Linked DNA regions of Pelodiscus sinensis. The protein of the gene in region 2 purifies or fractionates together with the protein of the main gene of each other region. This does not show direct contact. Links are inferred from orthologs where the notes say so. Each region holds a gene or a part of one and is shown on either strand. Other genes may lie near its edges.

Region 1 (10,920 bases), on a different chromosome or scaffold from region 2:
TAATCTATCCTCCAAAAGCATGTAATTAACTATGAATTAAATTATAATTTTATTGTAACACTAGACTATATTACCACTGATTCCTTAAACTATAACTTTCAGTGTTACTGAATGATTGGAACAAGATGATATTTTTAACTCAAATCAGATTTTTTTAAAGAATTGTGAGCATAGTTCACAGAAAACTGTTATATTCAGCAGTGTATGTGAAATAAATCATCTAATGGGGACCACATATGTGATCCTTCAATGACATATTTTGCCACAGACTGAAGCTGTGTCTTCACTTACAAAAAACATCTGTATAGTTAACTAGTAAAATCTGGAGTGGAATAAAGGGGGACGGACCTATGTTGTTTTTAACTGGATGGAACTAGTCAAGGTAACCCCACTTTAGGGTATAGGTCCTGTTTTTTGTTTCAGCTAGCCTAGACTAACACGACTACATCTCTATTAGGATTGATCTTCACTGACTACATACAAGTAAAAACTACCTGTGAGCTGTCTCCCCTAGGACTTAGTACCATGATGGCTTCTCTGAGATGATGGCAATAGTTTAACCTAGTTCCTAGATAACATTATCCAGAGAACAATAAATGGTAATTCCTTAAACGGTAGTCACCCAGAGTTTAAGAAGCGATTAGAGAAAGCACAAGCCACCCAATGAACAGTGTTCTCTCCAGGATAGTTCATCTTAAATTCACTCGGAAGCTAATTCTGGTGGAGAATTCATCTCTCACCGACAGAAACTGCTATAATGTGTGCAATCTGCAGTGATTGCCTCCAGGTTTTCAAGTAGAGTTTAATACATTAGTTTTGATCAGTGAAGCACCAAATGGCAATAATCTTACCTACTGGAAAGGCCACTTCTCTCCCCCTACCACACTGCCAGAACCTCATTGATTAAGAGAGAAAAATATTGGCGGCAGCTTCTCAACTTTGAAACCCATTCTTACCATTCTCCCTGGGCAGAAACAGATAGAGTTTGCTGATCTTCCTCACAGTCTGCAAAGCTGATTTTTATACCAGGACTTTTGGGGATCAGGGTGCAATCTAAAGGGATGAACTGGGAAGGGATGAAGTAATTCTTTGATCTTTCGACTGAATTAGTTCTTTATAGTATGTTCTGCTGGATTTGTCTGTTATGATTTGTGTTTTTAAAGAAAACATCAAGGGCATCCAGAGCCGTAGGCCCTGGCTCTTATACATCCAAATAAAAATAAGTACTTGGAATTAACTCCAGCAATAACCTACTTGCTATCCACCTGTCTACTAAACTGAAGAGTTTTTTAATCAAGATTAAATATGGACTCTTTTTTTGTAAAAATCATACCACTTCTGATTCAGCAGCTCATTTCAAAACTCCAAAGGATAAAAGCACCAATGTAGCTCACATCATAAACAAGTGCCCTTGAATAAAGTATACCTTTTATGACTTTGTTCCCTACCTTCCCTCATCTACAAGATACAGGTTGTTTTTTATTGTGGTCCTCAGAGGTTACTGGACATTAATAAAAGAAGTTTGAAGAAGAAAATAAATCAAATTCTTGTGCAATTTAAATGACGTTTTAAACCTGCCATATAAAATTTTCTAAAACAGTAACATTAGAAAAGTATTTTAACTTTTTAATTAAAATGTCAATACTTATAAACTATCATTCAAACAGTAGGTTCAAACAACTGCTTTGGCCTTTTTAATCAAATTACATTCATAACTTTTCTGAAGTCAGCAAAACACTATTTTTGACTGACTCATCTATACCAGAGTCCCTACAATCAGCTCCATGGCAACAACATTTTAACATATCTGACTTAGAAGTTCAGGAGTCCATCACCATCATCACCCAGAAATGTGTTAAACTTAACATTAATTATCTACTACTTAGGAGCAACAGCTTGGCGCCGCTTTTCTAATCTGGATCTCATATTCCCATTTCCCAGTTTACTGGGTTCTTCTGTCATCTGCATTCCAGTACACCTACCTCAAATTTCTCATCTTAGTTATTTTTAAACTGTGATGTTCTAGTTGGTTATATTTGAGCACATACCTTAATGTTGCGCCTTGTTACAACCAAATATACTATAGCCTTGTAGCAGATAATGTGAAACACAGAAGCTAAACAAGATTTACCTCACAAGCTTGTCATTTTGGATGCTGGTACAGTTTAGGGAGCTGATTGTACAAGAGTTTGACTAAGTGGGTACTGTATTTTTATTACCTCTTTTACCAAAACCAGATATTATCAAGAACGAACATATGAGTGATCCTACTGGGTCACACCAATAGTCCATCTAGCCTGTATTCTGTCTTTAAACAGTAGCCAACGGCAGGGTCTTCAAAGAGAATGAACAGAACAGGCAATCACAAAGTGACCGTTACCTTTCATTCACTCCCAGATTCTGGCAAATAGGATAGGGACACTCAGAGCATGGTGGTGCATCCCCTTACCATCCTGGCTAATAGTCATTGATGGACCCATTCTCCATATCCTCATGATGTAAATGTATTCAACATGAGGGTACAGGTAGTCAGTAAAACAATCTGTAAAAGTTTTTTAAAGTATGTTCAAACTGCTGAAATTCAGGGTTAATAATATGTCACCAGATCAATACAATCCACTGGCCTCCTAAAATGGTTTTGGCTCGGTCATATTCCTAATCAGTGCTACAATTAATATCATCCAGACTTATTTTTTGTATTGAACAGACCAGACTGCAATCAGACTTTAGAATCTTTTAAAAAGCTTAATCTATCAGTTGCATAACTGTCAACAATGCCTCACATTTGTTTTATATAATAGATGTTAGAAAGTGCTCACTTTATTGATGACTGAGCCACTATGAGTGAGGAAATATTTTTATTGCACCAACAGCAGATGTTAAGAGACATGTTTTTGAGCTACACAGAGCCCTTTCCTCAACAACTATCAATTTTATGTGACAGCTTCAGTTTTCATGGCAACATCATCTCAAAGGAGTCATCACAGGCCAGACTGCACACAACACTACTACTTAGTTTTGGAAAATTTCAGTTATGATAAATCACTTTTTTTTTTACCATTTGGTGACAGCCCTAGAGAACAAACTAATATTCTGCTATATTTCCTATGATTAAGATTCCATCAATAGTACCTGCCCAAATATTTTCATCTAGTAAACAGCCATGATTAAACAGAAATAACATCCAACAAACAAAGCATGTGAATTTAAACAAGCAAATAAACAGGAAATCACACCATTCTTAATAATTATATATAACACCATACAAGCAAAACTTTGCAAAACTCCTCTCACTAACATGCCTACCCCTCTGAGTCCTCTTAGCATAATATGCGTTCTGGGTGTTTCAGTAAAATATCTTTTCCCTAATCCCAAAATCATCATGATACAAGGCAAATGATTCTCAGTTCAGACCCTTAAACTCATCATAATTCGGCAGGGCTGCTAGAAATACCAGCTTCTTTTTAACTCCACAAGGTTTTTCAGGTAGTGATGGTTGAGAGAGATGTCCACAGAGGTGTGCTAGCACACACCTCCCACCTCGCCCCTATACACACAAAATCCTCAGCCAGTATTTGACAGGGCAGGCTCATGATTTTATGGTCTCAGCCCGTTCAGTGGCTGCCTAAAACTGCACCTGATCACGGTGCTTGATACCAAGCCACTCCTGGGAGCCACGAGCAGAGCAATCTGGTTTTAGGCGGACTCTTGAGAGGGTCCCCACGGAGGTCAGGGCTTGAGGACGGATCCCCCAGCCCAGTGATACACACCCCGAGGTAATTTCAGAAGGGATCAGCCTGGCACCTCGTTCTCGTCCCACCCCCAATACCTCCCAGTCACCTCCCCTGCGCACCCCTTCCCTGCCTCACAGCCCCGCCGTGCTCATCTCCCCCCCAGCCTCCCACACCCCAGCGCCCCAGAAAGTGCCCGCTGCCCCCTTCACAGCGGCCTCCCCTGTCCCAGCCCGGAGCTCATGGCTCGCTCCCCCCGGGATCTGCCCCTGCGCCTCAGATCCCCCCCGCCACGGTGCCCCCGCCCTCACCTGCGCCTCAGATCCCCTCCCCCCGCCCTCACCTGCGCCTCAGATCCCCCCCCCGCCACGGTGCCCCCGCCCTCACCTGCGCTGCCGATTTCCATTCATGGAGCTGGGGGCGGCCGCTCTCAGGCTGCGGGACTAGGATCCTGCCTCTCGCCACAGAGAGTAGCCCCCGCTCTGCGCGCGGCGCCGGGTCCGGCCGGCCGGCCCGGGAGCGGGGCTGCGAGGCAGACAGCAGCGGGGCGGCCTCCTCCCCCTGCCGCCAGGGGCCAAACCACTCTGAGGCGGCGCGAGCGGCGAGCGGGAGCCTCAGGAGCGGAAGTTGCGTGGCCGCCAGCAGCCCCAGCTCGCGCTCGCTCGCTCGCTCTCTCTTTGCCCAGTGCCCTGCCGCGCGCCGGAAGCTCCGCCCACCAGCGCACGCCGGGTACGCTCACTTCCGGCGAAGCGTTTCCGCCGTCCTCCCACTCTGGAGCGGACCGTGACGCACAGAAGGGGCGGGCCCGGAAGTGGTACAACGGAGGGCGGGAGTAAAGGGAGGAGAAGGGGGGGTAGAAGGGTGACGCAGTGTCACGCGCTGGGGGCGGCACTTCCGTTCGCGTGGGGGTGGTGGAGGGTGTACAGGGGCTTGGACCCCTTGGTGTCGTGGGGGTGGGGAACAGCAATCTAGGGGGGGCTGCCCGTGCCAATGGGCTGCTTTGCCCCCCCATGGAGATGGGGGGTACAGAGGACGCCCCCCTACCCACAGAACAGGGGGGGGGATGGGAAGCGATTGAGGCGCAGGACCTCTGGGCCCGGGAGCGGTGTGGGAGGCTCTGGACAAAGTGCAGTCCCTGTGAACCCCTGGTCTATCATCTTATAGGGAGGCTAGCCACAGGGAGATGGTGCTGCTGGTGCCCTCCCTGCCCCCGCACCAGTGCCTGCTTTCTGCTGCTGAAAGGAGTGGGGTAAGCCTTATGGGCTGGATTTGGCTTGCAGGGGAAGGAAGAAGTTCCATGTGCGGCTGCTCCCCCAGCTAGCCTAGAGATTTTCCTTACTGTTCCCATTGGCTGGAAATGTGGCCAATGGGAACAGTAGGGGTGGTGCCTAGGAGCAACTGGAGGCAGAGACACAGGTAAGACCCCCACATCCCTAGCCCCTCCGGCACCCATCATCATGGGTGGTAGGGATGTAAGCGAGTAGTCAACTACTCAAGAAGCTTATACTTATCAGGTATTCAAGCCATTAGTCAAGAGCAGGAGGTGCTGGGGGAGCTGGTTTAAAAGCTAGTTTCCCTCAGCACTGCCTCCACATGGGGACAACGGAGGTAGAGATGCAGCAGAGGACCAGGTCTGAGCTGGGACTCAGGTGTGTGGGGGCTTGCACCCAGTGCCCCACTGCACCTCTGGCTTTTAAATGTAGTAAGAGCTGCCTGGGGCCAGGAGCTAACCCCATGGCAACTCGGCATTTTCCCCCCCTTATTGGTTAATCTAGTAGTCAATGGATTAGCTGACTAAATGCAATTTAACACATTAGGTGGTTGACTGGTGGTCCATGGAAAGATCTGCATTGAGCAGGGTGGGCCGTGAGCCAAAAAGTTTGAGAACCGTCTAGCAAGACAAGGGCTACGTCCAGAAGAGAGTTGTCTATACTGGCATGTGCCTTCGTGCAAGAGATGTGCTTTTGCGCAAGAGCATCCTTGCCAGTGTAGATGCTCTTATGCAAGAAAGCTCTAATGGCCATTTTAACTATAGGGCTTTCTTGCACAAGAAATTCATGTTGCTTGTCCACACTGGCCTCTTGCGCAAAAACAGTTGCGCAAGAGGGCTTATTCCTGAGCGGGAGCATCATAGTTCTTGCACGAGAAGCACTGATTTCATACATTAGAACGTCAGTGTTCTTGCACAAGAACTCACGGCCAATGTAGACAGGCAGCAAGTTTTGGTGCAAAAGCAGTTGCTTTTGCGCAAGATCGTGCCAACGTAGACACAGCCTAGATGGGTGGGTACCAGATAAATCTGCACTCTGTATGTATGTATGTAGGGTCCGAGTTCATGAAAGTGACTGGACTCTGGGAGCTTGAAATACTCTGGTGATCCAGAACACAGAGGCTTAGAGTCTCTTCACAGCACTCTAAGGCTGTGTCTAGACTGGCTAGTTTTTCCAGAAAAACTTGCCAGCTGTTACACTGGCCGCTTGAATTTCCGCAAAAGCACTGACTTCCTACTGTAAGAAATCAGTGCTTCTTGCGGAAATACTATTCTGCTCCCATTCAGGCAAAAGTCCCTTTTGCACAAAAAGGCCAGTATAGACAGCTCAGATTTGTTTTCCGCAAAAAAGCCCCGATCGTGAAAATGGCGATCAGGGCTTTTTTGCGGAAAAGCGCGTCTAGATTGGCACGGACGCTTTTCCACAAAAAGTGCTTTTGCGGAAAAGCGTCCGTGCCAATCTAGACGCTCTGTTCCAAAAATGCTTTTAACAGAAAACTTTTCCATTAAAAGCATTTCCGGAAAATCATGCCAATCTAGACGCAACCTTAGGGTGCACAGTGCCAAATTTAGAAATAAACCGCTGTTCTGAAATGTCCCTTAATCCTTGTGGAATGAGGTTTACAGGGACATTGGAATAGCATGCCTGTTATTTTGAAAGCTATTTCGAAATAAGACATGCTGTCAAGATGCGGAATAGCTAGTTCAAGATCCGGGAAATATCCCAAAATAGCACTGTAGTGTAGATGTACCCTTAATGGGAAAAGGTACTTGCTGGGATCTGTGACATCTAGTACAAGTGCATATGCACAACAGCTGGAAAACAAAACATGACAGAGCCAGAAAGGAGAGAGTTTAAATAACAAGAACAAAGAAATCATGTGGAGCTAAATTATCTGTTTAAGGCAAGAGAACCAGTACTAACCCCCAAGAGATAGCTCTTAGGCTTAGTGAATATATTCTGCCCTGTTATTTTACTGTACTTCCACTGCTAGTTATGTTAAAGGGATTTTTTGAATACACCGCCTTCACCTTTTATGGCCGCTTGTTACTTTTTGCATCAGTCTGTTTAATTTGTGAAAATTAAAATTGGTTACATTTTTGCCTGTGCTACGGTTCCCTTTCAGAATTTCAGTGCTGTACCATTTGAGATAACATGCTTCTAGGGTTTTAAAATAGCTGTCTTGTCTTTTAAATTGTAGATACATTTATATTGCTGTTAAGTTTCCCACAGTCTTATTTTTTACCATGTTTTAAATTTTGGCCTAAATCGGACGATGTGTGCCTTTAACTAGCTGGCAAAATGGGAGAAAGTAACTTTAAATTTTCCAGAACTTACATAAAATGTATCAGCAACGGAAGGCGTCTGTCCTTCGGGAGTGGGGGTGAAATGATGCTTAAGTACAGTTTATAGTCCAGATGATTAATATTAGTACATTTCATCCTGCCAGCTTCTATCTAAAAGACATGTTATTCCCTCAGTAGATGAGCTTAGAATGTTCCTGCAATAAATCCTCAGGAGTATCACTGTAATTTTTCCTCTTTTAAAAACAAACCAATCCACAATGGAAACATGGATATACACTTACCAAAATTTGCTTTGTGTATGGGTGTGTAGTGGGGAATAGGCCATATCCATCAGAATTATTTTCTCTCACACAAAATGGGGCCCGGGGAGGGGGGGCTGAGGAATTCCCATTAGAGTGGCTGGTGGAATAAAAGTATGGGAAAGAAAAATAGGGGTAAGAATGTTCATCTGACACTGTTATATGTGGTGCATGCTACAGGGGGGGAAAAGCAGCCCCTTTTGTGTTTGCCCTCTTCTACTATGTTGCATCTCTTCCTGCTATAATTAACCATGCCCAATGGGCAATGCTGTGCTGCCAGCCCCAGCTGATACTAGTACTGTGTTTGGCACTAGCTGCCCAGTTTCATCAGCTGTTTAGGGCAGGATTATTTCCTTCCAAGAGCCAGGAAAAGCAGCAATGGTAAGCTTCTGACAACTTCTTCAGCCACACAAAAGCCAAATGCTGTTCTTGGAATTACAGCTGGTGCTTGCTACCCTGCCAATACCGGTAGGTATAGGAGGAAGGGGAGGGGAATGCTCTTTCTGCTATGCTAAACACATTGAAAGCTATAACTAGAGCAATGTATATTAAACAGCAGACTGACAGGGAAATTACTACCCTGATTTTACATTGATAATGCTTATATTTGTACAGAAACTGTTGGGATGAAAGAACTGGATCAGATTTTTAAAAAAGGCTCAACATGGATAAAGCCCTAAGGGCTTTGAATAGGGTGAGAAGTTAAATTTCCATCCTTATGAAATAAGGCCCATATAAAGGACACCAGTAAGGAGAGGAAAAACCCAAACATCTGGTCTACACCCTCCCTTTACCTAAAAACAAACCAAAAACATTTTCTGAAACAGGCAGCTCAGTATCAGAGCAGGACATAATGTTCCTGCTGCAGGGCAAACCACAGCTGCCTGTGGTTTATGGTAACCTTCCAGCTGCACACAGCTTAAAGTGGGAATTTACACCTGCTTTAAGAAGCGGGATTCTTAAGAAATGCCTTTTTATCTCACATCTGAAAAGCAAAGGTAGCTTCCAATCCTCTTATTGACCTCAAAGTCGAAGCTTTCCTTGGCCACTCCCAAAGCCAATGCATACAGTACCTTTCATGCTTTAGTAGAGGCACTACTTTGCAACAGTTGAAGCCAGCTTCTGCTGTTATCCCAATTCCACACTGCGATATCACTGCTCACAGGCTCTCCAATGCCAGAGAATGACAGCAGTGGAAGCACTTTGGCACAGCTGTCCATACAAACTGCTTGTGCTGGCACTCAAAGAGTTGCTAAAATTGCTGTAATTGTAGTTGAGTAAGGAAAGCTCACGTCCAGTGCATGCTGCACCAAATTGCTCTGCCCCTTTGCAGAGACAGTTCAGACTGCACTGACATTTTAGTTGGGCCTGGCCAAAACCCACAAATACCCCCACTGCCTGCCTGCTTAAGGTTCTGTGTTTCAACTCCATATGCTATTTCACTTGGGAAACTGGAGTGTTTTATATGGATAGAACATGAAATCTGAATGCTTACGGAAGAAGAGACAACGGGGAATTACTAGGAATAGCAGGACGTTCCCAAGGACACTGCCATATTGCAGGGAGTACTGTGGGGATGCAGTGGACTTGCTACAACTAAAAAATGGTGGCTAGTGTAAACTCCAGGATGTCTAGTGACAAGACTGCAATGCTGTAGTGTCAAGAAGGTTAAGATACCAAGCTCCTCTGTCAGCCCTTTGGGGTTTTGCTACCACAGACACACAGTGGGGAGCACATCTACCGCGAAGGGCCTTTAAACAAGCTTGTCTGGGGAGCGGGGTGTATAAATGAAAGGGTAACGTTGTGGCATACAGGAAGCAGAAACACAGCAACAAGTTTAGGAACAGGAAGGCTACATCTATACTGGCATGTTTTTCCGTTAAAAGCATTTGCGGAAAAGAGCATCTAGATTGGCACAGACGCTTTTCTGCAAAAGAACTTTTTGCGGAAAAGCATTGGTGCCAATCTAGACGCGGGGTTTTGCGCAAGAAAGCCCCCATCACCATTTTCGCCATCGAGGCTTTTTTGTGCAAAACAGTTTTTAGCTGTCTACACTGGCCCTCTTGCGCAAAAACATTTCCAGAAAAGGGCTTTTGCCCGAACAGGAACATTAAAGCATTTGCGCAAGAAGCACTGATTTCGGACAGTAGAACGTCAGTACTTTTGCGCAAAATCAAGCAGCCAATGTAGACAGCTGGCAAGTTTTCGTGCAAAAGCAGCTGCTTTTGCGGAAAACCTTGCCAGTCTAGATGCAGCTGAAAGGTTTGAGAGAGGCATAATGCCAGTGCTGGAAGAGATGCTGTGCCAAGGGCATTGGTGGTCAAGTTCAGAGAGAGAGAGAGAGAGAGAGAGATACACTCTGCCTCCCCCACAGCAGTAGACCGAGAACCACTACACACAGTAATGCAGGTTAGAGAATGATCTTTCTTTCCAGGGCCCCAGGATAGAACATGGGTCTGGATTAAAAACTATTCTAGCCATGCCAGTAGCTGCTGCTGCTACAGTGATTACAAGGTGTGCCCCCCCCCCCCCAAACTGAAAATGTTTCCTGCGTCATAAGCTTACACTAAGTCTTTCATTCATTTTAAACAAATCCTTGAAGTGTGCTACAACCTTGGGCTAGACGGAAGAACTTGAGGGACGAAGGTGGTCATTAGACACTGACAACACAACCTTAATGTTGGCCTTTTGGATATCTTTATATTTTTCCATTTGTGAAAGACTCCTGAGAGGCAGGACATTGACAAGGACAAAGGACACATACCACACAAACACACTCTCTCTCTCAACATCCTCCAGCAAGATGCGATGAACAAGTTTACATGCCTACAGACCACTATTGCAGTCAACTTTTCACTTGAAATGGGACTCAACATCCACATTGGACAAGCTGCCACAACAGTATCTAGACCAAACAAATGGACAGACCACACAAAGATGTGTGTGTCATGCATATTTTATCAGCACACTTTTATACAGGAGAGAGGCATGGACCTTATAGTCTCATCCAGAAAAGAAACTCAACATCTTTCATTTGTGCTGCCTTTGTTAAATCTTTGGAATCTCCTGGAGGGATGGAATCACCAACAGTGAAGTGCTCAAACAGGCCAGTATACCCAGCATGCAAAACACTCTTCAGAGATGTCTCTCAGGGCTGAGCATGTGTACATGGACACCCTCTATGGCAAACTGACATCTTGAAAAAGACCCCAAGAACTCCCAAAATTGCATTTCAAGGAGGTGTACAAGAGACCTCAAAGAAATGCATATGGATGTAGACTCCTGGGAAGAACACACACACAGAATTGCAGCT
Region 2 (10,872 bases):
AAGCAGAAACAAGGTATGTATGGCAAAAACAGAGACAATTATTTAGCAAGGGTTGCCTTATGTGGGACTACATAGGGTAGGGTATGTCTCCTCTACCAACTGGATTGAGAAAGTAGAGATCAATCCACCAGGAGTCGATTTAGCAGGTGTAATGAAGACCCACTAAATCAATGGCTGATCGCTTAGACATCGAGTCCCATACTCCACTGGAACAAGAAGCACAAGGGCAAACGACGGGAGATAATCTCCTATAAATGCACCACAGAGATGAGACAGCAGTAAGTATGTCAAATTCAGCTACGTTATTCATTTAACTTAAAATTGATCTCCCTCAGTAGCATAGACTAGCCCTAAGATAGGAGGCAGAAACAGGAATGTGTCAGCTAGACAAAGGAAGAAGCTCTCTATACAAAAAAAAAAAAAAAAAAAAAAAATGTTTTGAGCTACAGTGCTTCTGGAACATCAGGGAACTCATCATGTCTTCCATAGTAGATCAGTCTTTACCTTTTCCAAGTAGTTTAGGACTGTACTAGAATTCTCACCAGTTTTCCCTAGAAAGCTTCTTAATACTGACTGTGATGAATTATGAGACGGAATTTCTAAAAAGTAAATTTAAATAAGTGTAGGGGACTTTTACCTTTCTTCAGAACTCAATTTCATTTCTCTTTAAAGCAATATGTCATTACTGTATCATCTCTTTCCAAATACTCTGTCAAGCTGCTTAAGCTGCCCTCCCTCCCCAACTATCACCCCTTCATTTTTCAGTTTGACTTCTTAACCTCTGATCCACTAATTAGCTTTCTGGCCTTTGATCTTCTGCCTTCTCTGCTTGTATTTGGATCCTCTTGCTGCCTATCATTTTACACTTTCATTTTGACTCCTCTCTCTCATGGCATTCATCTTCCATTATATTTTAATAGTACCTTCCATTCCTTTTCACTAAATCTGATTATATATTTTTCCCCATTCCAAAAGAGACTCACTGGTTAAGAGAGCTCCCCCCCCCCCCCAGTTTCTAGTTATATTCATTTAACTACATAAAGATTAAAACAGTGAAACAAACTCAGAAGACTTTTCTACAGAAGTAATTCATCAGATTTTGTGTAGATGAGTGACAATCATTTAAATGTATTTCTTAGCTTGATTTCTGAACTAAAGAGCCTGCCAACCCTCAGAAATGTGATCCATACAGACCTGGTGAAACTAGTAAAGGTCATCTCCATAGTTCAATACACTGTAAACAAAGAGTTATCCAAGATGAGATTACAACTCCTAGTACTCATGAAAAAATAAAAGCTTCAGAACCCTCTCCCACAGGCTATGTCTACACTCACAGCTTCTTGCGCGAGTAATATGCAAATGAGGCTAAGCATGGACTATCGCTGAGCCTCATTTGCATACCTAATGAGCCACCATGTGTTTCAGAAGAGGCTCTTGCGCAAGAAGGAGCATCTACACTGCCCCTTCTTGCACAAGAAAAATCCTCTTGTGCAATGCCGTTACACCTATTTACTTTTCAGGAAGAACGGCATTGCGCAAGAGGGTTTTTCTTGCGCAAGAAGGGGCAGTGTAGACACTCCTTGCGCGAGAGCCTCTTCTGAAAAAAAATGGTGACTCATTAGGTATGCAAATGAGGCTCAGCAATATTCCATGCTTAGCCTCATTTGCATATTACTTGCGCAAGAAGCCGCAAATGTAGACATAGCCACAATGTCCATGCCATAGGACAAAGTTAACAATATCACTGGACTCAATATGCGAGAAGGGTGATGTGAATACGGATTGTTTGTCCCTTGTTTCAAAAAATACAAAGCATTATCTAAATGCTATATGTTCTTCTTCTATATCCATTGCTTCACAAATGGAATGAACTATCAAACACTTGCAAACAAATCTGCTCCTTTGCTGATCATACAGGTAAGAGTTCACATAGTTGAAGGATACAAAGAGATCTTTCTAAAAGTTATCAACTTTATTGTTGTTGGTATCAGGAGAGCACCCTTTATTATACACTGAAATAGAAAGGTCAGAAATCAGAGAATTGTTGACTTACGCTCAACCAGGCAAGGCCTAAACAGAAATATATATTGGCAGCTTCATCTGTCTGACAGTAACAGCTACCTAGAGTACAAAAAGCAGCCTATTTCTATAGCTAGGCTGTAATAAAAAGATTTAGTGCCAAATCCCGCAAACAACAATATTCATTTTGTTCACTGCTACACATAGCCCAGGAGACAAATGGTACACTGATTTTTTTTTTTTTTAAACTAGCAGATTTAACCAGCCGCCTTGCCTGGGTCCTTCAAGGCAGGGACTTGGGCTAAGGCTAAGGACCCCTTCCTCCCCTCAATCCAGACCACCCCTCACCCTGTTCTCTTTCTTCTCCCCCCCAACCCACCCTGAATCAGAGGCAGCAGTGCAAGGGAGGCAACTGGGTCCCCAAGAGCAGAGCAGGAGGTGGAAGTGAGCTGCCGCCCCATGCTGTAGGCCTCCCCAGGAGTGGAGTCAGCAGCTGAGAGCCAGCTTCCAGTGCACACTTGCTGCCTGCCCAGCTCCGGGGGTTAAAACTTTATACTGCAGAGCCCATTACGAATAACTGCTAAGACTTAACAGTTACATGGTTACCTAATTAAGCACTTTTTAACATCCCTAGTCTGTACAGACACCTCAAAATAATCTGGATATTAAACCCAAAAGTTAAAAAAGCAAGATATACTTTGACATTAAAAAAGCTTCTTCATAGAAAGGGCAATATATGGCCCAGGGACTGAATCCAGCCTGCCAAGCCATTTGATCCAGTCTGCAGCTGGCAGCGCTGCGCCCTGCCTCCAGGCCAATCAAGACCCAGGGTCAGAAGAGTGCATGGAGTCTCCTCCCCCCATCAGGGGTACACTGCTCCAGAGGGAACGGCCAGCAGTTCAAAACACTAGCAATTCCCTCTAGGCATTGTGTGCCTCGGCTGGGCAGGTGCAAGAGATCTCATGTGCTCCTCTGCCCCACAGCCAGCCACCACTACCACCAAAATTGGTGATGTGTCCCACCCCTTACAAAAAGTATTGCCCACCCCTGTTATAGAAACTAAACTGGGACAGTAAAACGGAAGGGTCATGTATGACTGTGAATGCAAATGGAGGGGCCTCAGCATGACCACTTATTTTTTGGCTTGAGTTAACAAAAAAAACATGCCCACGCCTCACAAAATTAGGTGACTTCAGTTACTTCCCTATGTAGTCATAGAGCGTATATATTAACATAAGGAGCACCACAAAGCAGGCACGAGAGTGAGAGAGAAGCAGCCCTAGCAATGTGTCGCCTCGGATTTTCCTATGCCAGGAATAGCTCTGAAAAGTGGCTTTGGCTTGGGACACTCCTCTTCAATTCGGTTACTCCTCCCGCCTCTAAACTCATTCCACCAGCCGCGTATGCAACAAATCCAATGTGGTCGGTAGTGCTACCGACATAACCTCAGGAGCGCATCCGCACGCAGCGGAGCGGGGTAACTCCAGCCACTGGAGGTTTGCTGGCGGCTTGCTTGGGGGCGGCCGGGAAGCAGAACCACCCGCCAGGGCTCAGAGTCTCCTGCTCACTCCCTGGGGCCCGCAGCGCGCTACGCGGCGGCAACTGAGGCTCTGCGCTGGCCCGCGCGCTGCCGGTTGCCGAGGCCGTGCCGGGTCAAGCTGGCCTCGCACGCCGCGGGCAGAGCAGCGCTGCAGGCCCCACACAGGGCCTCGGCTCCCGTTTCGGCTCCCGCGGGCTGAGCCTGGAGCCGCCCCTCCCTCCGCACGGGGCGGGGCTCGGGCACCAGTTAAACCCCGCCGGCCTAGGGCCACCCTCCGGCCCCGCGCGCGCCGCCTCAGTCCCCAGCCGGCCGAGGGCAGCCAGCGGGACCGCCCAGGCAGAGACCAGCGAGCGGCCGCCTGCGGCTCCGAGGCAGGAGTGGCCCGGAGGGAGCCCTGGCGGGCGGGGCGGCTCTCCAGCCAGGCCCCCACCCCTCCCGCTGAGGGCGGGGGAACAGACGCAGCGCGGGGCCCCAGGGAGACGGACGGAGACCCCCGCCGCGCTGCCTGTGCCTGGGGGGCCTGTCCCGTACTCACCGCCGAGGTGCGCGTAGTTCCGTTCTCCTCAGCGCCGGGGGCGGCTCCTCTCACCCACCCGCGTCACCCGCAGGGGAAGCGCGAACCCCAGAAACTAGAAACAAAATACAATTTAAAAAATAAAAACTTTCCTCGTCGCCGTCTCCCTCCCCCCGAGAGCACGAACCCAAACACACCGAGACACGCCTCCGTGACGCCCCCTGCGCAGCTCACTGGCCAGGGTTGCGCCAGCGTCCGCCCCCATTGGCCGCAGCTCCTGCCGATCACACACCTCGCCTCTTTTCACCCCTCCGTACTGTTAATAGGATAGCGTCTCCGTAGTCTCCCCGCCCATTAGCCACAACCCTTGCCTATCACATCAATACCCACCTTTCTGCGACTTCAATTGGCTGGCATCATCGCCATCTCCCCACCCATTGGCTACACTCACTGACAGTCACATACATCTTCCACCTAACTCATTGTCTGGCACCGCCTCCTCCTTTCTCCCCATTGGCTATACACCCAGGCCGTTGGACGAGAACGCGCCCAACTCTCGGGCTCTTCCGCACCCTTCATTGGGTTGTATTTTTATTCTCTCCCACCCATTGGATGAATGCTGGGCCCGTCACAAAACAAAGTCCCGCCCACCAAGCTGCGGGTCTTAAAAGAGACTTCTGCGTTGGTGCGTCACTGCGCGCCGGCAGCACTACCTAGCTCAGCTAGGTAAAATCACCGTCAATCAAGCACGCACAGCGGCTCCCGTGTGGTCCCGGCCAGAGGGAAGGCGTTTGACTGGTGTCCAAGTTACCAACAAGGGCCCCAGCGATAAACACCCACAAATGCAACGCCCCGCCCCCAGTTAGTTATTGTCTGAGACGCAACACGGGCACACCCGGCACAGCTTGCGACGCTATTTATCCCCAGCTTGCACCGCCCCGTGCAGGTTATAGCCGGAGGGAAACGCTATTGGGCCTGAAAGGTGTCAGTCTTAATGAAGCGCGCACGTCATTGGTGAAAGCGTTTGGGGTGTCCCGCCTATCATCTTTTTCAGCCCTTGGCAACAGTAAGCGTATCCACCATAGCTACTGATAGCGTCATAGGGCGGCTTCCCTCTAAGCGCGCCTCTGATTGGCCCGTTGTCATGCGCCGCAGAGCGCTAATCCTGAGGCCCCTCAGCTGCTTGTCTACGGCCCGAGTGCATCCCCGCAGAGCCTGATCCAGCGGCCCAGTCTCAGCCCGGCCCTGCCTGCTGCAGCCACAGTCTCGAGCGCGGCCCCAGCCGGCGCTGGGCTGTGACTCTGGCACGGATCTCAGTGGTCTCCTGGCTGCTGCAGCGGCCACAGCACAGCGCGAATCGCCTTTCTGGCGTCTGGGGGGGGGGGGTCTCACGCGAAACCCTTGTTTGTGACCCACAGGAACCAGGTAGAGCAGTGAGGTGACGGAGCGTCTCCTTTACGCTGCGCAGCCGCCGCCCTGCCCTAGGCTTCTTTCCAGCACTCCTGCGTTTTACACTGAAGGGATCGCAGCCTGAAGGAGAAATAGGAAGGTGCAGCACTTTAAAGACTAACAAGATGGTTTAATAGGTGATGAGCTTTCGTGGGCCAGACCCACTTCCTCAGATCAAATAGTGGAAGAAAATTGTCACAACCATATAACAATTTTCTTCTACTCTTATCTGAGGAAGTGGGTCTGGCCCACGAAAGCTCATCACCTATTAAACCATCTTGTTAGTCTTTAAAGTGCTACATAGTCCTGTTTTTTGTTTCAGCAGCACCAGACTAAGGGATACATTTCTACCACTATCCTGAAGGAGAGGAGGGTTTTGCCTTTGATGTCAGTGAAGCCAGGTTTTCTTCCACAGTGCTTTGAAATCATGGCTGTAGTTTACTTTAAAAAAAACCCACCTTGGTCCAGATACTCCAAATTAGGCCTGGTTGGAGTACTCTGGCATCATATTTCAGGAAAGATGTGGAGAAATTGTAGACAGTCTAGAGAAAAGCAAGAAAAATGATTAAAGGTCCAAAAAAAATGACTTATGAGGAAAGACAGGAAGAATTGTGTTTGTTTAGTTTAGAAAAGAAGACAGAGGGGATATGATAGGAGTTTTCAAGTACCTAAACGGATGTTACAAGGAGGGAGAAAAATTGTTCTTTTTGACATGATAGGACAAGAAACAATGGGCTTACATTACAATAAGGGAGATTGAGGTTGGTCATTAGGAAAAACTTCTTTACTGTCCAGGTGATTAAACACTGGAATAAATTGCCTAAGGAGATCATGGAATCTCCATCACTGGAGTTATTTAAGAGCAGGTTAGCTAGACATCGATCAGGGATGACCTAGTCCTAGATGGTACTTGGTCCCATTATGAGGGCAGGGGCTGGACTTGATGACCTCTTGAGATCCTTTCCAGTTCTAGTATTCTATTAATTTAGTTTTATTCTGTAGACCCTGCTGATAAATATTTAGCAGGTGAGGGGAGAGCTGTTAAGGAGTGATTGAAATTATATAGAGGGGGCTCGTCTACACTGGCCCCTTTTCCGGAAGGGGCATGTAAATTTCATGAGTCGTAGTAGGGAAATGCGCGGGGGATTTAAATATCCCCCGCGGCATTTAAATAAAAATGTCCACCGCTTTTTTCCGGCTTTTAAAAAAGCCGGAAAAGAGCGTCTACACTGGCCCCGATCCTCCGGAAAAAGTGCCCTTTTCCGGAGGATCTTATTCCTACTTCAAAGGGCACTTTTTCCGGAGGATCGGGGCCAGTGTAGACGCTCTTTTCCGGCTTTTTTAAAAGCCGGAAAAAAGCGGCGGACATTTTTATTTAAATGCCGCGGGGGATATTTAAATCCCCCGCGCATTTCCCTACTACGACTCATGAAATTTACATGCCCCTTCCGGAAAAGGGGCCAGTGTAGACGTAGCCAGGGGCTTTATGCAGAGATCAAGGAACAGCAGAAGCCCAGGGACAGTGTAATAGTTCTAAGGGGTACCTTGTCAACCCCTGCCTCCAGCATGTGAGAAACTTGCTTGTCTTTAGCTGAGTGTCTGTTCCCTAACATCAACAGCTCTTTAGCCACCTGAGCACTCTCCTCTAGCCAATGCTAGCCTTATTTTGCTTTACAGGTTAAAAATAGGCACACCATAGTCCCCAAGCTCTATTGAACACGCACTTGTAGCATCCAGACCCTTATCTAATGAAGTTCACAGAAATACCAGGTCTGCTTTCCCCAAAGGAACAGTTTATATGCTAGCTATGACAACTCAGGATCAGCACCTTGCTTAATATCACAGCATTTAGATAGTTCATAGTGAAAAAAAGATAAGTTTATTACCAAAGATTCAAGAGATAATAAGGATAATGGAACTAAAAAGTTAACTAGGGGGCTGTGCCCCCTTGCTTGCTACGCTCACCAACTCCCCTTCTCTGTGACCGTTTTCATGTCCAGAGAGCATGTTAATCTTGCACTGATTATACAGAATTATGAGCAAATGAAGCTGTACAAAAAAAATTGGTCTATTGCTCACATACTACATGTTACAGTACTTCCCTAAACACTACTTCCCTAAACACTACATTAGTGTTTTCTTGACTGCCATTAGTCTTTTGATACCCTGTTGGCTTCTACACTGAGACAGCTGTGTAGAACAACCACAGTGAACTATTAGGAAAAAAAAGCTCAGTGTAGATTTAGAAAATATTAAAAATTAAATTACAGAAGTCTCTGTATCAGAGGCAGCAGTGCAATGCAGCAACCATGAGCTAGTACACGTAGGGAGCCAGCTTAAAAGCTGGCTCCTGGCGTGCACTGGCTCCTGGGGAACTGGCTGCCACCCTGTGCTACTGAGTCTATAGGGGTATGTCTACACTACCCTCCTAGTTCGAACTAGGAGGGTAATGTAGGCATACCGCACTTGCAAATGAAGCCCGGGATTTGAATTTCCCGGGCTTCATTTGCATTAAAAATGGCGGAGCCCCGCTTATGCAAATGAAGCCCGGGAAATTCAAATCCCTGGCTTCATTTGCAAGTGCGGTATGCCTATATTACCCTCCTAGTTCGAACTAGGAGGGTAGTGTAGACATACCCTATGAGAGTCTGTAGGTCACGGGCTGGTAGCTGGCTCCCTGGGAGTGGGGCTGGCAGCCTGGAGCACAGTGTCTGCCAGCTTGGCTCCTGGGGAGTTAGCATGTAACCACTAAAATTTTTAGCATCTATACTGTTAGAATAACATTTTTTAATCTTTCCTACTGTGCATAATATAATTTGAAAATTAAAAAAGTTTAACTTTTAACACAAACAACCACAACACTAAATGTATGGTATCCTTAGAACTTCTACAACTAGCTCTTGTTTTCCACACTCCTATTGTCATTTTAACACCTACTGTTCCATTTTAATTCATAGATAAACAAAAATGATTTTTTTCTGGTTTTCCCCTCTCCCAGTCAGTTTTAGCTTTGAGCGAGAAATACCAAATGATGAAAATATTTTTTGTGCCTGCAGAGGAAGCTAGTGCTGTGAAAAGTTGGCTTAGCCACTGATGGAACTTGCCTAGGTAATTATTTCCACCAAGTCAGGGGAGAGACTTTGTTTTAAAAAAAAAAAATCACTAAACATGTACCAATTAAATGGTTTCGCTCCAGCCCTGAAATTTATTATGACTTGGATAACTGAGGAGTGATTTTTGAGATGCCTATGGTATGGCAGCAGCAGTATCTTGAAAAATTCAGCATCTATCTTTGTACCTGAGGTCAAGAATGTTCTCAAGAAAATAATGTGGAGTTCGTGCTTGATTCATTCGCTTCTTTATTTTATTGCCTGCAGTTTAACTTTCTGGTGAGGTATTTCTTTCATCAATGTCTCTTGAACTGCCTTTAAAATTTCAATAGCATCAGCAAGCTGAGCACGTCCTCTAAAGTACTCTTTATTCCAATGTTACTTTGCATGAGACACTTCCATATATTTAATCACGGTTTTCTTCACAAAGATTAGGCCAATTTTTAATAAATTGTTCAAAACAATCAACCACAGAATTCCATAGAACCTTGTTAGGGAGAATTAGTTTGAATCCTCCCGCTCTCTTCAGTAACACTGAAACAAAATGGTTACAAAAGAATTTTTCAACTTCAACAATTTTTTATTCCTGGAGAAAAGGCACTTAAGTCTTTGGCTAAAGAATGCATTAAATGGGCACTGCAGCCAGAATTTATTAAGGAACATTCTTCTGTTTCTTCTTTTAAGTATCTTATCTCTTTGCTAGGTTTGAAGTATTGTGACAAAACTGCACACGACAGTTGAATTTTTGTTCATGACTATTATAGCTTTCACTGCCATTTCTTCTAGATCGGGGTGGGAGACCTTAGGCCAGGGGTGTCCAAACTTTTTTCAACGAGGGCCAGATTTGATGAAGTGAACATGTGTGAGGGCCGACCATTTTGCCTGACATTCTTTGAACCATTAAAATTAAATGCAAATTAACTATTTTATGCAAAGTTTATTGCAAACGGCATATTTTTCTTTTCGTCACATGGATGACAAATCTAAACAGGTGTTAAATCACTCTGCCTTTCATATCTGAAGGCCAGATGAAAAAAAAAAAATCCAGGAAGCTGAAATATATGTCAGGAACATTGTAAAGTACATTACATATTATTGGTAATAAAGGTTGTCTGTCAACTTTTAAGTTCAAAAAATATGAACAGGAACATAACACCAAGTATACATGTTGTGTCCAAATATATTTATAACTGATTTAGACCAAATGACATTAACTGAGATTTTACAATGTATTCATCTCAATACATATGGATTCGTTGGGGGCCATAAAAGATAGATATTGCCAAATTACCTGGGGGGGCCGTATTAAACCGGAACACAGGCCGCAATTGGCCCACGGGCCAGATTTTGGACATGCCTGCCTTAGGCCCAGGGGCTGAATGTGGCCCTCAGTTTGCCTGGATCTAGCCCAAGGCTTAGGGTTCCCCCTCCAGCATTGGGGAGCCTGATCTGGCACTCCATTCCCCCTACCCTCCTCCACAGGTCTGGCACACACAGCTATGTCTAGACTACAGATTCTTTTGGAAGAAGCTTTTTTCGGAAGAGATCTTCCAAAAAAAACCTTCTGAAATAGAGCAGCCACACTGCAAAAATGAATAGAAAAAGTGATCCGCTTTTTTGAAAGAGCATCCAGGCTGGGTGAACACTCTCTCACATGTAAGCTGTAATTGCTATGGACAGAATGGCATCAGAGCACCTGTGCCTTTTCCTCTTCTTCCGAAAGAACTCCCTCTTCCCCATCCACACACAACTTTTTGCAAAACAGCTCTTTTGCAAGAAGGCTTCTCTCTCATAGAATAAGGATTACCAATGCTGGAATAACCCCTCTGTTCCTTTGATTTTCTTGCGGAAAAACACAATTGCAGTGTGGATGTCCCGTTCCTCAAGTTTTGTTCAAAAAGCAGCTGTTTTTCCAACAAAACTCTAGCATAGACATAGTCAAAGTCTACCAGCCTGGGCAACCCTAGGCTCTAGTGTATGTGGTGAGTGTCTTTCTCCTTTTCAATCAAGAGCCATGTCAATGGACCAGGGTTGTTTTTTGGCTTCTGTTGGGGGCCAGCCCCTGACATGGGGTGCACCCCCCCCCCCAGGATCCCACATCCTGTTCCCTCTAATCAGGCCTATACAGTACTAATGGTCCCAGTACACAGTCCAGACCCCTCTATCAGGGCATATATGGTAGTTGAGGCCTAGCTCCAGGAAAAGCCTCTCACAGCCAGTGTGATTGCCCAGGGTACAGG

The links. Proteins that work in one complex are often made in the same cells at the same time.
Region 1: the proteins of TNRC6B (region 2) and AGO3 purify together in Homo sapiens (affinity purification with mass spectrometry; 6 studies listed by BioGRID and IntAct, with this or other methods). This does not show direct contact. The link is inferred for Pelodiscus sinensis from reciprocal best matches to the Homo sapiens genes TNRC6B and AGO3.

Annotation. Positions count from the first base shown.
Region 1 is NC_134735.1:7,594,025-7,604,944, reverse strand, and holds the start of AGO3 (protein argonaute-3), read right to left. Parts: upstream 4,439-10,920; 5' UTR 4,138-4,438; coding exon 4,119-4,137; intron 1-4,118.
Region 2 is NC_134711.1:90,364,412-90,375,283, forward strand, and holds the start of TNRC6B (trinucleotide repeat-containing gene 6B protein), read right to left. Parts: upstream 4,581-10,872; 5' UTR 4,464-4,580; intron 4,410-4,463; exon of another isoform or gene 4,271-4,409; intron 4,265-4,270; exon of another isoform or gene 4,189-4,264; 5' UTR 4,095-4,188; intron 1-4,094.